2 linked regions of the Oryctolagus cuniculus genome follow. The protein of the gene in region 1 purifies or fractionates together with the protein of each later gene. This does not show direct contact. Links are inferred from orthologs where the notes say so. Each region holds a gene or a part of one and is shown in the gene's direction. Other genes may lie near its edges. The genes, in order: EIF4G3 and EIF3B.

Region 1 (6,973 bases):
AATTGCCACAATGGCTGGAGCTGGGCTAATTTGAAGCTAGGAGCTTCTTCTGGGTCTCCCATATGGGTGCAGAGGCCCAAATACTTGGACCATCTTCCGCTGCTTTCCCAGGCGCATTAGCAGGGAGCTGGATCAGAAGTGGAGCAGCTGGGACTGCAACCAGTGCCCATATGTGATACTGGTGCCACAAGTGGCAGCTTTAATTGCTACACTGCAGTATTGGCCCCACGCTTCTACCATTTTCTGGAGTTAGGCTCTTACCTACTATAATAGTTCTAAATCAATATTCCCCTGCCTTAAGTCATTTCTGTTTGTTCCATTAAATCAAAATACTTAATGATAGTTTACAAATAAAAAAGTAATAACCCAACAGAGGTAAATCAAAAAAGTCTAGTTAGGTAAAAAGAGGTCACAGGTGTAATGATATGATGTGAATTTCCGATTCAGCTAAAGGCATGGCTATAAAAGATGTATGAGAATAATATGTATCTGTTCTTTAGAATATTCAAGACATCTTATTGTTGAATCATGAAATGCCTGAAGCTGAATTGTGTATCCCTTGTAGAAAACCTACCTGTTTTTCAGTAGCATTATTTTGCACAATAATGAAAATAGACATTTTGAATGTCTTTAATCTTGCTGCTTTTACGTTTTCCTATCTGCGTGCAGCTCAAAGTACCGATGGCAGACAAGCCTGGTAACACAGTGAATTTTCGGAAATTATTGCTGAACCGTTGCCAGAAGGAATTTGAAAAAGATAAAGCAGATGATGATGTCTTTGAGAAGAAGCAGAAAGAACTTGAAGCTGCCAGTGCTGTAAGTGTATCATCAGAAAGACAGTGTTCACGCGTGTTGAGTGCTTCCAAGGACACGTGAGGCCGGGTACAGCATCTCCCCGCTTCCTTAAAGGGGTTCTGTTTTATTCCTCTTAGTGCTGAATGTCAGAGCAGCTCAGCTCTCCGCAGCAGCGTTCAGTCTAAACCTAGACTTGAGAGAGGGCGTTGGGTTCTGGAGATCTGAAATGCAGGAGGTCTTTGTGGGTGTAGTTCGTGTTTTGAAAAGTAAGTCCCCAGTCGCTGTCAGATCCTCACAGGGCATCTGACGCTCAGAACGAGTAAGGATCGTGAGGCATACAACTTTTCATTAAGATGCTCTTACTCCTTCTCACACGACAGCCAGAGGAGAGGACAAGGCTTCATGATGAACTGGAAGAAGCCAAGGACAAAGCCCGACGGAGATCCATTGGTAACATCAAGTTTATTGGAGAACTCTTTAAACTCAAAATGCTGACTGAAGCCATCATGCACGACTGTGTGGTGAAACTGCTAAAGAACCACGATGAGGAATCCCTGGAGTGTCTGTGTCGCCTGCTCACCACCATTGGCAAAGACTTGGACTTTGAGAAAGCAAAGGTAAAAATTCAGAAACTTTCCACAGAGGCTCTGGGTTGCAAAATACTCTCTCACCCCCACAGCTGAGGCTGTTAATTTCCCTTTGTCTATCTAATCATCAGTTTTTGGCCAGCATGTTCCCTGCCACATTTGCATTAGAGTCATAGAGGAGCAGGTTCCAAATTATACAGAAGACAATTTGTAGATTGTTCACATTATTTGTCACTTGTCTCTTTTCTTCCTCCGTAACTATTTCATAGGTCATTTATTTGTACAGCAAGTTTTAAGCTGAAATAAAAAAAAGAAAAGCTACTATGTGTCAGGCTCTAGGGTGGTACAGAAATGTGGAAAACCCAGTAGTTCACTTTTTTTTGAAGATTTATATTATTTTAGATAGAGATTGGTCTTCCATCTGCTGGTTCACTCCCCAAATGGCTGCAATGGCCATGTCTGAGCCAGGCTGAAGCCAAGAGCCAGCAGCATCTTCCAGGTCTCCCACGTGGGTGCAGGGACCCAAGCCCTTGGGCCATTCTCTGCTTCTTTCCCAGTTGCATTATCAGGGAGCTGTATCAGAAGTGGAGCAGCCAGGACTTGAACCTTATAGGATGCTAGCACTGCCAGCTACAGCTTATCCAGCTATGCCACAATGCTGGCCCCTGGTTTTCTTCAAGTTTATGCTCTGATTAATGGCCCATCTAGCTAACCATAATATAAGAATTCACCAAAAATACTATAATTCAAACATAACATAGTACTGTCCAAGTAAGGTTTGTGGAAATGAGAAGTGCTTCAAAGAAATAATGTCAGAACTGTTCCATAACATTTGAGTCAGCTAGAATTATGTTTAGCTATGACAGAAAATCCCAAGTACCTGTAGTTTCTACATTATTGAAGTTTTTCACTTATATAAGCAAAGTTCATAGATAAGTCCTTGTAGCTTACTGTTTCACATTCCTAAGGTAGAACATTAAGTCCTTAGAATTCTCAGCAGGAAAAGTAGGAAAAAAGGGGGACAAAGGACACAGCTACCTCTCTCATAAGGAAGGTTCCAGGGAGCTGCAAAATAGCATTTCCATTATATTCTGATCTATAATTAATAGCATAAAAAAGCCACCTGCTCAAAAGTCTGAAAAGTGTAATCTTTTCTTTGGGCAATCATATGGGCAATTAAAAATCCTGTCATATTATTCCTTAAACATTTAAAAGCTCTCTATAATGAAAAAAAATCTATATCATGAAATTACATTTGAATTCTTTAGCCAGAAATACTAATGATCTTGTTTCTTGTAGCCACGTATGGACCAGTACTTTAATCAGATGGAAAAAATTGTGAAAGAAAGAAAAACCTCATCTAGAATTCGATTCATGCTTCAAGATGTGATAGACCTAAGGCTGGTAAGTAGGAAAGAAAAGGAAATATACTACTAGTCTAAATTATTTTAATAAATTGAATAGGAGAAGGATGTCCTAACGTTAACATGTATAAAAACTTAATGCTGGTGCCAGTGCTGTGGTGTAGAGGGTAAAACCACTGCCTGTGGTGCCGGCATCCCATATGGGCGCCAGTTCTAGTCCTGGCTGCTCCTCTTCCGATCCATCTCTCTGCTGTGGCCTGGGAAAGCACTGGAAGATGGCCCAAGTGCTTGGGCCCCTGCACTCATGTTGGAGACCTGAAAGAAGATTCTGGCTCCTGGCTTCAGATAAGCCATTGTGGTCATTTTGGGGAGTGAACCAATGGCTGGAAGACCTTTCTTTCTGTCTCTCCCTCTCACTATCTATAAATCTGCCTCTTCAATAAATAAATAAAATATTTTCAAAAAAAAAACTTATGGTTGGGGCTGGTGCTGTGGTGTAGCAGGTTAAAAGCACAGTTTACAGCACCGGCATCCCATAAGGGCACCTGTTTCGAGTCCTGGCTGCTCCACTTCCGAACCTGCTCCCTGCTAATGCACTTCAGAAAGCAGTGGAGTGTCGCTCCCCCTCTTCGTGGAGGAACGACACTAAACCCTGCCTAGGCTTCATATCCGAGTCACGGCACCATTATGTCGCTCCCCCTCTTCATGGAGGAACGACACAGGACCCTGCGCTGTTCTTTTGTCTGCTCGGCCCTCCCCGGGTTTGCTGCTGGTTCTTCCCGGGTTGGCTACTGACCCTTCCACCTCCGTGGAAGGGCGGTCCCCCCTGCCACTTTCCCCACTTCCGCGGGGGAGCGGCACACCGCCGGCCGGCTCTCTCAGGGGCTGCTCAGATGTTCCTCAGGTGTTCCTGGTGCATGTTGTCTCTCTCCTCCTTTATAGTCCTCTTCCACCAATCCCAACTCTGCTACCCACATGCCGAGTACGCTGCTCTCCTCCAATCAGGAGCAGGATCAGCTCCTGCAGGTCATCACTCAAGTTGGCGAGAGGCAGCTGCGTAGAAGTTGTTACTCCCTTCTCAGCGCCATATTGTGGGAGAACAGATGCATAGAATAAGTCTTAATTCCAGTAATAGTCTAGTCCGAGTTGCTCCCCACAGTGGAGGATGACCTAAGTTCTTGGGTCCCTGCCACCCACATGGGAGACCCAGATGAAGCTCCTGTTTCCTGGCTTCAGCCTGGCCTAGTGCAAGCCATAGTGGCCGTTTGGGAAGTAAACCAGCAGATGGAAAACCTCTCTCAGTGTGTCTTTCCCTCTCTCTCTGAAACCCAGAGGAAGCTCCTGGCTCCTAACTTCAGGCTGGCTCAGCCCAGGTTGTTGGCAGCTACTTGGAGAGTGGGCTAACAGATAGAAGATATCTCCCTCTGTGTCTCTGCCTTTCAAATAAATAAATCTTAAAAAAAAAAAAAATGCTTCTGACTGGTGTTGCAGTGCAGTAGACTAGGTTGCCACCTGCAACACCAGCATCCTGTGTCAGAGCACTGGTTTGAGTCCTGGCTGCTTTGCTTCCCGTCCAGCTCCCTGCTAATGCACCTGGGAAAGCAGCAGAGGATGACCAAAGAACTTGGGACTGCCTCCCATGTGGGAATCCCAGATGGAGTTCTGGGCTCAGGGATTCAGCCTGGCCCAGTCCCATTTGTGATCATTTGGGGAGTGAACCAATGGATGGAAGATTCTTTGCCACTCTGCCTTTGAAATACATAAAATGTGTCTTTAAAATAAATAAACAAATAAATAAAATTAATGATTTTGCTTCAATACTCTCTGATCTTGAACTGGTGTATTCCTGAGAGAGTTAGGAACCTCTTAATTGTTGCGTGTTTCTACTCCTTACTTTGATTATCAGACTACATTGCAGTTTTGAAATAAGCAGTTCTGAATTCAGACTGTGGTCAATTAAATTTAGTTTTCGTGAGCTAAATGATCAGTCTGATCTTCACAATGAATGTTTGACTTTGCTGAGCCTTACACTTTTAATCTGTAAAATGGGGATGTTGTCTGCCTTGCAGATTTGTTGTAAAGATTCAGCGAGATCATTATGGAAAGTGCCCACATGTTGATGTTTTCTGCTCTATTGTTTTTCCTATAAACCCTCTTATTCTATAATAATGTTTTTCTCTTCTTATACCACATACAGTGTTTATCACTGTAGCCTGATTTCTTCTCTTAGTTAACTCCTGTAGGGAATATAGTGCAGCCAGCCCAAGGAGAGAAAGTAAATGCGGGGCACACCTCTTTCCTGTCTGAATCCAGCACTGGTGATGGTTCTCTGTTTTGCTAAAGCCCCGGCATGGCGTTGGGATCTCTCCTATTACCAAAGCCACTTGCATACTGGTGTGGTTTTTTTTTTTTTTTTTTTTTGACAGAGTGAACAGTCAGAGAGAGAGAGAGAGAGAAAGGTCTTCCTTTGCCGTTGGTTCACCCTCCAATGACCACCGCAGCCGGCACACCGCGCTGATCCGAAGGCAGGAGCCAGGTGCTTCTCCTGGTCTCCCATGGGGTGCAGGGCCCAAGCACCTGGGCCATCCTCCACTGCACTCCCTGGCCACAGCAGAGAGCTGGCCTGGAAGAGGGGCAACCAGGACAGAATCCGGTGCCCCGACCGGGACTAGAACCCGGTGTGCCGGCGCCACTAGGCGGAGGATTAGCCTGTTGAGCTGTGGCACCGGCCTGCATACTGGTTTAAATCTGTTTGCCATCCTTGCCTCTGTCTAATAAGTAGAAAATACTTCCCCACCCATGCCTTCAGCTCCTTTTACTTGTATCAGATGTTAGAACATTAGGAAATGGAACAGGAAAGTATGAAGAGGCAACTTTTGGCCTTAGTAGAGGGGATAACCAAAGGGCACAATGGTGTGACACTTTGTGCAGGATCCAGAACCCTGATATTGGAGGAAGAAGAATGCTAGTCATCTTCTAATTAGACTCCCTATGGAGTGTGATATGAACTAATAGAACCCCTAGATTAAGGCAATGCCAAGGAACCCTTGTCCTTCTTGACTCCTCTTCCCTCTCCTCCTTTCAAATGTGCAGAATAATGATAAAATACATTTGGGCCAGTCTGTCCATTTGCTGTTGGAATGTGCATTGTACAGTTAAGTTGGTCAGGGTTGATTGAGAAGAATTTAATTCTTAACTCTAATTACCATACTGTACACAGTGCCATCCACATGACAGATGGAAAACTGCCATAATCTCAGATTTTGTAGGTAGTTTATACTTTTCTAGCAGTGAAAATTAAAAACTTATAATTTAATTTTATTTTTATTTTCAGCATCTGGCTGATAACCTGATTTTTCACTTTTCTAGTGTAATTGGGTGTCTCGAAGAGCAGATCAAGGGCCTAAAACTATTGAGCAGATTCACAAAGAAGCTAAAATAGAAGAACAAGAGGAACAGAGGAAGGTGCAGCAGCTCATGACCAAGGAGAAGAGAAGACCAGGTGAGTGAGGAGTCCACTGCGCTTTAGAGGACAGGGAGCTCGAGGGAAAGGTGTTGGAGTATTCTAGAGGGCAGAGTGTGGAAGATGCCACCTGGGGTATTGGAGGGCCTGGTTTGAGTCACAGCTCCACTCCTGATCCACTTCCTGATAATTATATCCTGGGAATACAGTAGGATGCTGCCTCCAAGTACTGGGTTATCTGCCACCCACGTGATCCCAGATGGAGTTCTGGTTTCCTGTCTTTGGCCTGGCCCAGCCCTAGCTGTTGTGGGCATTTGAGGAGTGACAAAGTGACTAGAATATCGTTCCCTGTCTCTGTCTTACTACCTTTCAAATAAAAGTTTATAAAGACAATATTTAGATGTGAAAGGAATGCAGAGAGAATAACCTGAAGAAAAGATAGTAATTTTTAAAAGATTTATTTATTATTTGAAAGGCAGAGTTACAGAGAAGCAGAGGCAGAGAGAGAGTCCTCCATCCACTGGTTCACTCCCCCAATGGCTACAATGGGCAAAGCTGCACTGATCTGAAACCAGGAGCCAGGAACTTCTTCCAGGTTTCCCACACAGGTGCAGGGGCCCAAAGACTTGCTTTCCCAGGCCATAGCAAAGAGCTAGATTGGAAGTAAGGCAGCGGGACTCAAACCGGCCCATATAAGGTGCCAGCACTGCAGGCAGCAGCGGCCCCAAGATAGTAATTTTCACTGAAGTATTTCTACCTGGAGA
Region 2 (6,973 bases), on another chromosome or scaffold:
AGCTGTGTTCATTTCCACCGCTGAGCAGTGTGCTCTCTTGCTAGGCAGACCATGCTTCATCCATCCTTCTGGGGTGGCCGTTGACCACTGAGGATTGTGCACACCTGGCGTTCTGTCACAGAGACGGCACCAGGACGGTGTGTGGTCCCAGCACTGCGGCTCCAGGGCACTGGAGTCCACTGCGGGCCTCCGGCAGTCAGCCTGAGGGGCCTGGGTGTGGCTGTAGGACGGCCCCCTTGGGTACTGGAGAGGGGCCTGGGTGTGGCTGTAGGACGGCCCCCTTGGGTAGAGCTGCACGTGGCTTAGCTGCCAAGGGCTCTTTGTCCCCACCTCCCTGAGACTAATTTCAGTCACTTGAGCTCCTCGCGAGTTCATCACATGTATAAAGTTAATCTCTTATTGCATTAATAAATGCTAGTTTTGGATGTCACTTTTGTTTTTTTAAACAGGGTGTTGTCACAAATTTTGAAATTTTTCGGATGAGGGAAAAACAGGTGCCTGTGGATGTGGTCGAAATGAAAGGTGAGTTTCATTACCGTCCTTCCTGGTTGTGTCGGCTCAGTGTCCTGCTGACCCTCCACTTCTGAACCTGCAGAGCGCCCAGGGCACGTGGCCGAGACTGGGCTCTGAGCGGGAGCGGCCGTCTCCGAAGCACACACGTGTAGACAAGTTCAGGTTTTGTGGTGTCCCTCGCAGCAGAGTGGGGGCCCTGTCGCTGCCCACGCCGGGAGCTCACTGCACAGGCGCTCAGCCTGGGGCGCAGACTCGCAGCTCATAAAGCTGCTTCGCTTTCTCCTAAGGACACGATATACTGTTTGGTTTCCGGTTGTTTGCTGCGTGCATTACTTGCTGTCCGCAGTGTTGATACCTCCCGCTCTCTCTGAGATTTACTTATTTGAGAAGGAGAGAGATCTTCCATCCTCTGGTTCACTTCCCAAGTGGCTGCAGTCAGCCGGTGCTGGGCCTGCCTGAAGCCGGTAGCCTGGAATTCCATGTAGGTCTCCCGTATGGGGCACAGGCTCGTCAGGCAGGGAGCTGGGTCAGACACAGCATTGCCCGAGACGCACCGCGACAGGCAGTCCATGAGCAATGCTCAGCCGCTGTGCCAGACGCGGGCTGCGCTTCGCGTGATCACTCGTGTCCTCACTTCCTGTCGTGCCTCTCCGCAGGAAGTCCAGCCCATGGCCTTTTCCTTTTTGTTGTTTGCACGGTCGCCCTGGGTGGCCTGTTGGGCATAGGATGTGATGTCAGGACGGGGTAGGCAGCCTTTTTCCTGCCATTGGGATTTTGTGTGTATTTTTAATTATTTATTTATTTGAAGGAGTTAGGGGAAGAGAAAGGTCCTCCATCCACTGGTTCACCCCAGATGGCTGCAGCGCCGGCAGCCGAGAGCTTTTTCCATGGGTGGCAGGGTCCAGGCATCTAGGTTGTCTGGCCGTGCAGAGTCGGCGGCGTGCAGATTAGCCGGCTGCAGGTTTCTGATTCTGAATCCCACAAGCAGTTCTGCATAGGCACGGGGCGTGGGGTCCCCAGCCGCACGGGACACGGGCTCCGCACAGCCCCCCGGGGTGACTCAGGAGGAGGCGGGTTTCCTGTGCTGCGGGTGGCTTCACGGCAGGGATCGCTCACACCTGGGGCTGGGCCCGCCCTCGCGTTGCTCTGGTCGCACAGTGAGGGGCATCTCGGGTCACACGTGGGAGTTGTTTGGATGACCGGGTGGCCATGTCTTGCTGCCGCAGAGACCATCATCGCGTTTGCCTGGGAGCCCAACGGGAGCAAGTTCGCCGTGCTGCACGGGGAGGCGCCGCGCATCTCCGTCTCTTTCTACCACGTCAAGAGCAACGGGAAGATTGAGCTCAGCAGTGAGTGGCCGGGCCCCTGCCTGCCTGGGGGCTTGCTCAGGGCCCAGGGGGCCGTCGGGCTGGTGCGGTCACACTTGTCCAGTCACACTTGTGGTCAGGCCTGCGTTCACACACAGCTGGGTGCGCTGTGGGCTTAGATGCCTCACAGATGCAGACAAGGGTGCTTCGTGTTCCTGGGGTGTGGGCGTCTGTGAGCTCCCGGCGGGCCCCTCGGCTCACATTCATGTTGCTGAGGTTGACCACCTTCTCCCTTGTTGTGAGTCGGGTGCTGTGGGCTAGGGGTCACTTCCTTGGATACCCGCCCGCCCCTTAGTCTGAGGCGGGGTCCTTTGCCCTGCCTCTGGGCTCCCTGATCCAGTGAGTGGGCTGGAAGCCAGCTCCCTGTGGCTGTGGTCCCACAGCGGTGCAGTGCCCCTCTCCCTGCCTCTCCTGGGGGTGCTGTGTCTCGGGCTCCCGAGGTGTGTGTGGTGCAGCACCCCTCCCTCTCCCTGCCTCTCCTGGGGGTGCTGTGTCTCGGGCTCCCGAGGTGTGTGTGGTGCAGCACCCCTCTCCCTGCCTCTCCTGGGGGTGCTGTGTCTCGGGCTCCCGAGGTGCTGTGGCGCGCATGGCAGTAGCTTGCTGCCTCCTGAAAGTCTCATTCTCGCTGTGGTGTGTGTGTGGTGGCCTCGGGCTGTGCAGCACACCGAGCACCTCCCCCGGGTCTGGCTGCCCTGCCGCGTGGAACCGCACCGTGGGTTCATCCCAGTCCTCAGAAGGAACTCGTGTGTGCTAGAGGCAGCGTTTCCCTAGAGAAGTCTGCAGAACTCAGTTCTCACGTGGCCGGAGCTTAGCATTGAGTGGTAGAATCAGTTCTGTGACGTTGGATGCGCTTCCATTGCTCTGCCATGTGAGAAGTCAGGCGGTTGGAGGCCACGAGGAGACCTGCGCTCTGTGCTACGAGCAGAGGGGCCTCCCCCTGCGCTGCGTGCCGGGGGCCCTGCCCAGGGTGCTCCCTGGCACGCGGTGGCACTCGGCGCTGTGCCTGTGTGTATTCCAGGGCTTCTGCCTGTTTTTCCCCTGACGAGTTCTTCTGTAACGTGTTCTAGTTTAAGTGAAGTTACTTGAAAGGCAGAGACCTCTCCCATCTACTGGTTCACTCCCCCAGTGTGCGCAGGGCCCTGAACTCGGGATCCAGCCGCGTGAGCCGCGGCCTCCCGGGCCCCCGGGCCGTTCTGGTCTGAGAACGCCGCCCTGTTGGGGCAGTGTCCTTCGAAGCACGTCTCCTCTCCTCTTGCTGCCCTGCTGCACGATGATTCTTTGAACGTGCCACAGGCCAGGAGGGAAGAGCCCGGGTTCCCGGCCCCGAGGTGGAGGCCCTGTGACAGCGGATGTTTGTTGTAATGGATGAACTCTCTGGGTAACTCCGTGAAGTGAAAAAGCGGTGTCAGTTTCAACGGACCCCTGCCCCTTTTTTCTTTTTTTTTTTTTTCCAGTGTGGAGCACAGCTTCAGGTGTACTGAGATGGGTTTTCCATAACTGCCTTTTTTTTTTTTTTTTTTTAAGATTTATTTATTTGAAAGAGTTACGTAGAGAGAGTAAAGGCAGAGAGAGGGGTCTTTGGTCTGATGGTTCCTTCCCAGATGGCTGCAACGGCTGGAGCTGTGCCGATCCCAAGCCAGGAGCTTCTTCTGGGTCCCCCATGCGGGTGCAGGGGCCCAAGCACTTGGGCCATCTTCCACTGCTTTCCCAGGCCACATCAGAGAGCTGGACTGGAAGAGGAGCAGCCGGGACCAGAACCGGTGCCCACATGGGATGCCGGCGCTTCAGGCCAGGACGTTAACCCGCTGTGCCACAATGCCCCCTCCCCCCCAATTGCTTTGAGAGCCAGCAAAGGCATGGGCTGTAGGTGGAGTCCTGACCCAAAGCCCCTTGTGCCAGATCCACCATAGCGGGCCGTGGGCAGTGGGCACCGTGATGCAGACTTTAACATACGGGTGCTTGCTTGCTTTCTTTCCAGAGATGTTTGACAAGCAGCAGGCAAACACCATCTTCTGGAGCCCCCAAGGACAGTTTGTGGTGCTGGCCGGCCTGCGGAGGTGGGTGGCCCAGCTGAGCCCATCCGTGTGGTCACAGGGAAAGGTGGGGGTGTCCTTGTGTCCCCTCACAGTGCGGAGTGTCTGTACGCTCCGGCGTGCGGGCCGAGGGCAGGCAGGGTCCGTGCTGGCACGCAGGTGTCATCCTCCGTGGCCTGCAGACCTGCACCTGTGGTGTCCTTCCCAGCATCCTCACCCACGTGTGCTCTCGCAGGAAAAACAGACCGCAGGTAGCGGTTTGACTGTTCCCTCTGGCCATTGTCACGATGAGCATTCAAGAGCACAGTTTCGCCTCTCCCGTTTCCTGTCGTTCCAGTGAGGCTTGTACATGGTGGAGAGGATGCCCTCTGCTGCCTGCCCCACCTCACTGTACACCGGGGCTGGGTTGGGGGTCCGGGGAAGGGTCGTCTGGCCCTGCCAAGGCAGCTGCGGGCAGCACTCGAAATTGAGTGAATCCTCAGCTGGCTAGTTTTCAGTTGCTGCTTTCCTATGGCCCACGAATGTTAGAAATTCCCAAACGGCCCCTGGAGAAAGGGTTCCCCACCCCTGCTGTGGAGGCGGAGCTCTGCCCATCCACCCCTGCAGCCTGGAGGCGCCTTGGCCCCCACAAGACGCAGAGCGGCAGCAGGTGCGGCCCGTCTTGTCTGGTGATGCTGGGAGCAGCTGAGGTCACAGGGCTTCGGTGGCTGCCCCCTGGCGCTGCCTGTCACCGCGCCATCGTGCCCTTGTGTCACGTTCCTCCACAGCATGAACGGTGCCTTAGCGTTCGTCGACACCTCAGACTGCACGGTCATGAACATTGCAGAGCACTACATGGCCTCCGACGTGGAGTGGGATCCGACCGGGCGCTACGTGGTCACCTCCGTGTCCTGGTGGAGCCACAAGGTACAGGCGCTGCCAGGCTCGGCTACCAGGCCCGGCTTCAGCTCCCCGTCTCATCAGCAAGTCCTGGCTTACTGAAGCTGTCCTCTGTGTGTGTAGCACAGAATAGGTGGGCGGCCGTGAATACAGGAAGAGGCGGGGTGGCAGACGAGGCGGGCGGCCAGGAGGAGCTGTGTCCGCCTAGGGCCAGGGACCCCTGCAAGGAGTCGGGTGGTCGGGGAGCAGGAGGTCCCCGCCTAGGGAGTTTGACTTCTCTGCCTCCGGAGGTCCGGTGCTGGTGGGCATGTCGGCTGGCCAGAGTCTGCACGCACTCGGTGCTACTGTGCTGGAGCTCTGAGCTTCATGTCTGGAGGTGATGGTGGCTGATGGAGGAGTGGGGTGTTGGACTGGGTGCCGATAGACAGGGCCCTAGGTGAATTGGGGTGGCTGTGTGTGGTGAGCTGAGCACCCTGCATTGGCCACCTTGTTTAGATGTCACCACAGTGAGACTGTCAGGATGCTTTTATTAAGAAGTGACACACTTGGCCGGCGCCGCGGCTCACTAGGCTAATCCTCCGCCTAGCGGCGCCGGCACACCGGGTTCTAGTCCCGGTCGGGGCGCCGGATTCTGTCCCGGTTGCCCCTCTTCCAGGCCAGCCCTCTGCTGTGGCCAGGGAGTGCAGTGGAGGATGGCCCAGGTGCTTGGGCCCTGCACCCCATGGGAGACCAGGAAAAGCACCTGGCTCCTGGCTCCTGCCATCGGATCAGCGCGGCGGCCATTGGAGGGTGAACCAACGGCAAAGGAAGACCTTTCTCTCTGTCTCTCTCTCTATCCACTCTGCCTGTCAAAAAAAAAAAAAAAAAAGTGACACACTCTGTTTTAGATACAAACACTTAGCTTCCCAAAAGTGCTTGTTTGCAATAAGGAGATTGTGCCAAAAGGGGCTTCAAGGCACTGCCTCTGGGAAGCTTCGTTGTAGAAAGAGAAGTGAGCAGAACTCAGCAGTGTGGTTGGTGATGGAGCGCTCTGTGTCCCGGCCCATGCTGCTCGTGGCAGACCAGGGGTAACAGGCCTATGCTTTGCGCGGCGCTGGTGTCGCCGCGTGCGCCCAGCACCCTGTGAGTCACCCCGTCTTGTCTTTGCTGGCACCCCTCGCCTGGCTGGAATGACAGCAGAGGCTGGGGCCACGGCTTCATTCACTGATGGAACGCGAGCCCTGGGGCATCGTTGGCAAGTGTGTTCTTGGTGCCACCGGCCCTGCCGACCACGAAGATCGTGGTCTTGGCTCTGGCGCTGCTGGCCGGGGGAGGGACGGGCAGCTCAGCTTGGCGACGGCTCTCTTCTAGGTGGACAATGCTTACTGGCTGTGGACCTTCCAAGGACGCCTCCTGCAGAAGAACAACAAGGACCGCTTCTGCCAGCTGCTCTGGAGGCCGCGGCCCCCGACGCTCCTGAGCCAGGAGCAGATAAAGGTGTGTGCCGGCACCAGGTCCGGGCTGTGGGGTGGAGACCAGTGTTCACAGGGACTCCAACATGCTACACGGTCACTGAGAACAAAACAGAAAAGAGCAGTTTTCAAACAGTAAACTTCAAATTTGCATGGACTGGAAGGGTGGATGAAAAGATGCCAGGGTGTATTACAAATTCCCGGAGGGATTAGAAGAGACATATTTGGGATTTACATAATTAGGGGAAATAGGCTTAGGGTATTAGGTCGCAGCTAAGAGGGGAGCGTAATTCCCAGGAAGACAGGCCACTGTGACAGCGCGGTCTGGAGAGGCGGGGCGAGCACTCGGGCCTGTGTTCCGTCTGCTGCTGGGGTGTCATTCCGTGTTGGTGACTTTGAAGATGGCTTTTGTGGTTCTGCTTTGAATGCTAATCCTGACTGACTGGTCTTTTGTTTCAGCAAATTAAAAAGGATCTGAAGAAATACTCAAAGATCTTTGAGCAGAAGGACCGCCTGAGCCAATCCAAAGCTTCCAAGGTCGGTCTCATTCCCAGGACTTGGGCACTGCGGAGGTGGGCGTTCTGTCGTGTCTGCTTGGGAGGGCAGGAGGCTGCTTGTCCCCAGACACTGCTTGTCCTGTGGCCACAGGCTGGCAGCCGCAGGCAGATGTGTACACAGGCATATGGGACTGACCGGACTGTAGCTACAGCCATGGCTGCCTCCACTGTGG

The links.
Region 2: the proteins of EIF4G3 (region 1) and EIF3B purify together in Homo sapiens (affinity purification with mass spectrometry; 3 studies listed by BioGRID and IntAct, with this or other methods). This does not show direct contact. The link is inferred for Oryctolagus cuniculus from reciprocal best matches to the Homo sapiens genes EIF4G3 and EIF3B.

Annotation. Positions count from the first base shown.
Region 1 is NC_091438.1:149,924,756-149,931,728, forward strand, and holds part of EIF4G3 (eukaryotic translation initiation factor 4 gamma 3), read left to right. Parts: intron 1-669; coding exon 670-816; intron 817-1,175; coding exon 1,176-1,412; intron 1,413-2,681; coding exon 2,682-2,786; intron 2,787-6,115; coding exon 6,116-6,248; intron 6,249-6,973. UniProt on the Homo sapiens protein: Component of the protein complex eIF4F, which is involved in the recognition of the mRNA cap, ATP-dependent unwinding of 5'-terminal secondary structure and recruitment of mRNA to the ribosome. Functional homolog of EIF4G1.
Region 2 is NC_091450.1:37,188,789-37,195,761, forward strand, and holds part of EIF3B (eukaryotic translation initiation factor 3 subunit B), read left to right. Parts: intron 1-449; coding exon 450-522; intron 523-1,739; coding exon 1,740-1,862; intron 1,863-3,858; coding exon 3,859-3,937; intron 3,938-4,680; coding exon 4,681-4,819; intron 4,820-6,142; coding exon 6,143-6,268; intron 6,269-6,702; coding exon 6,703-6,780; intron 6,781-6,973.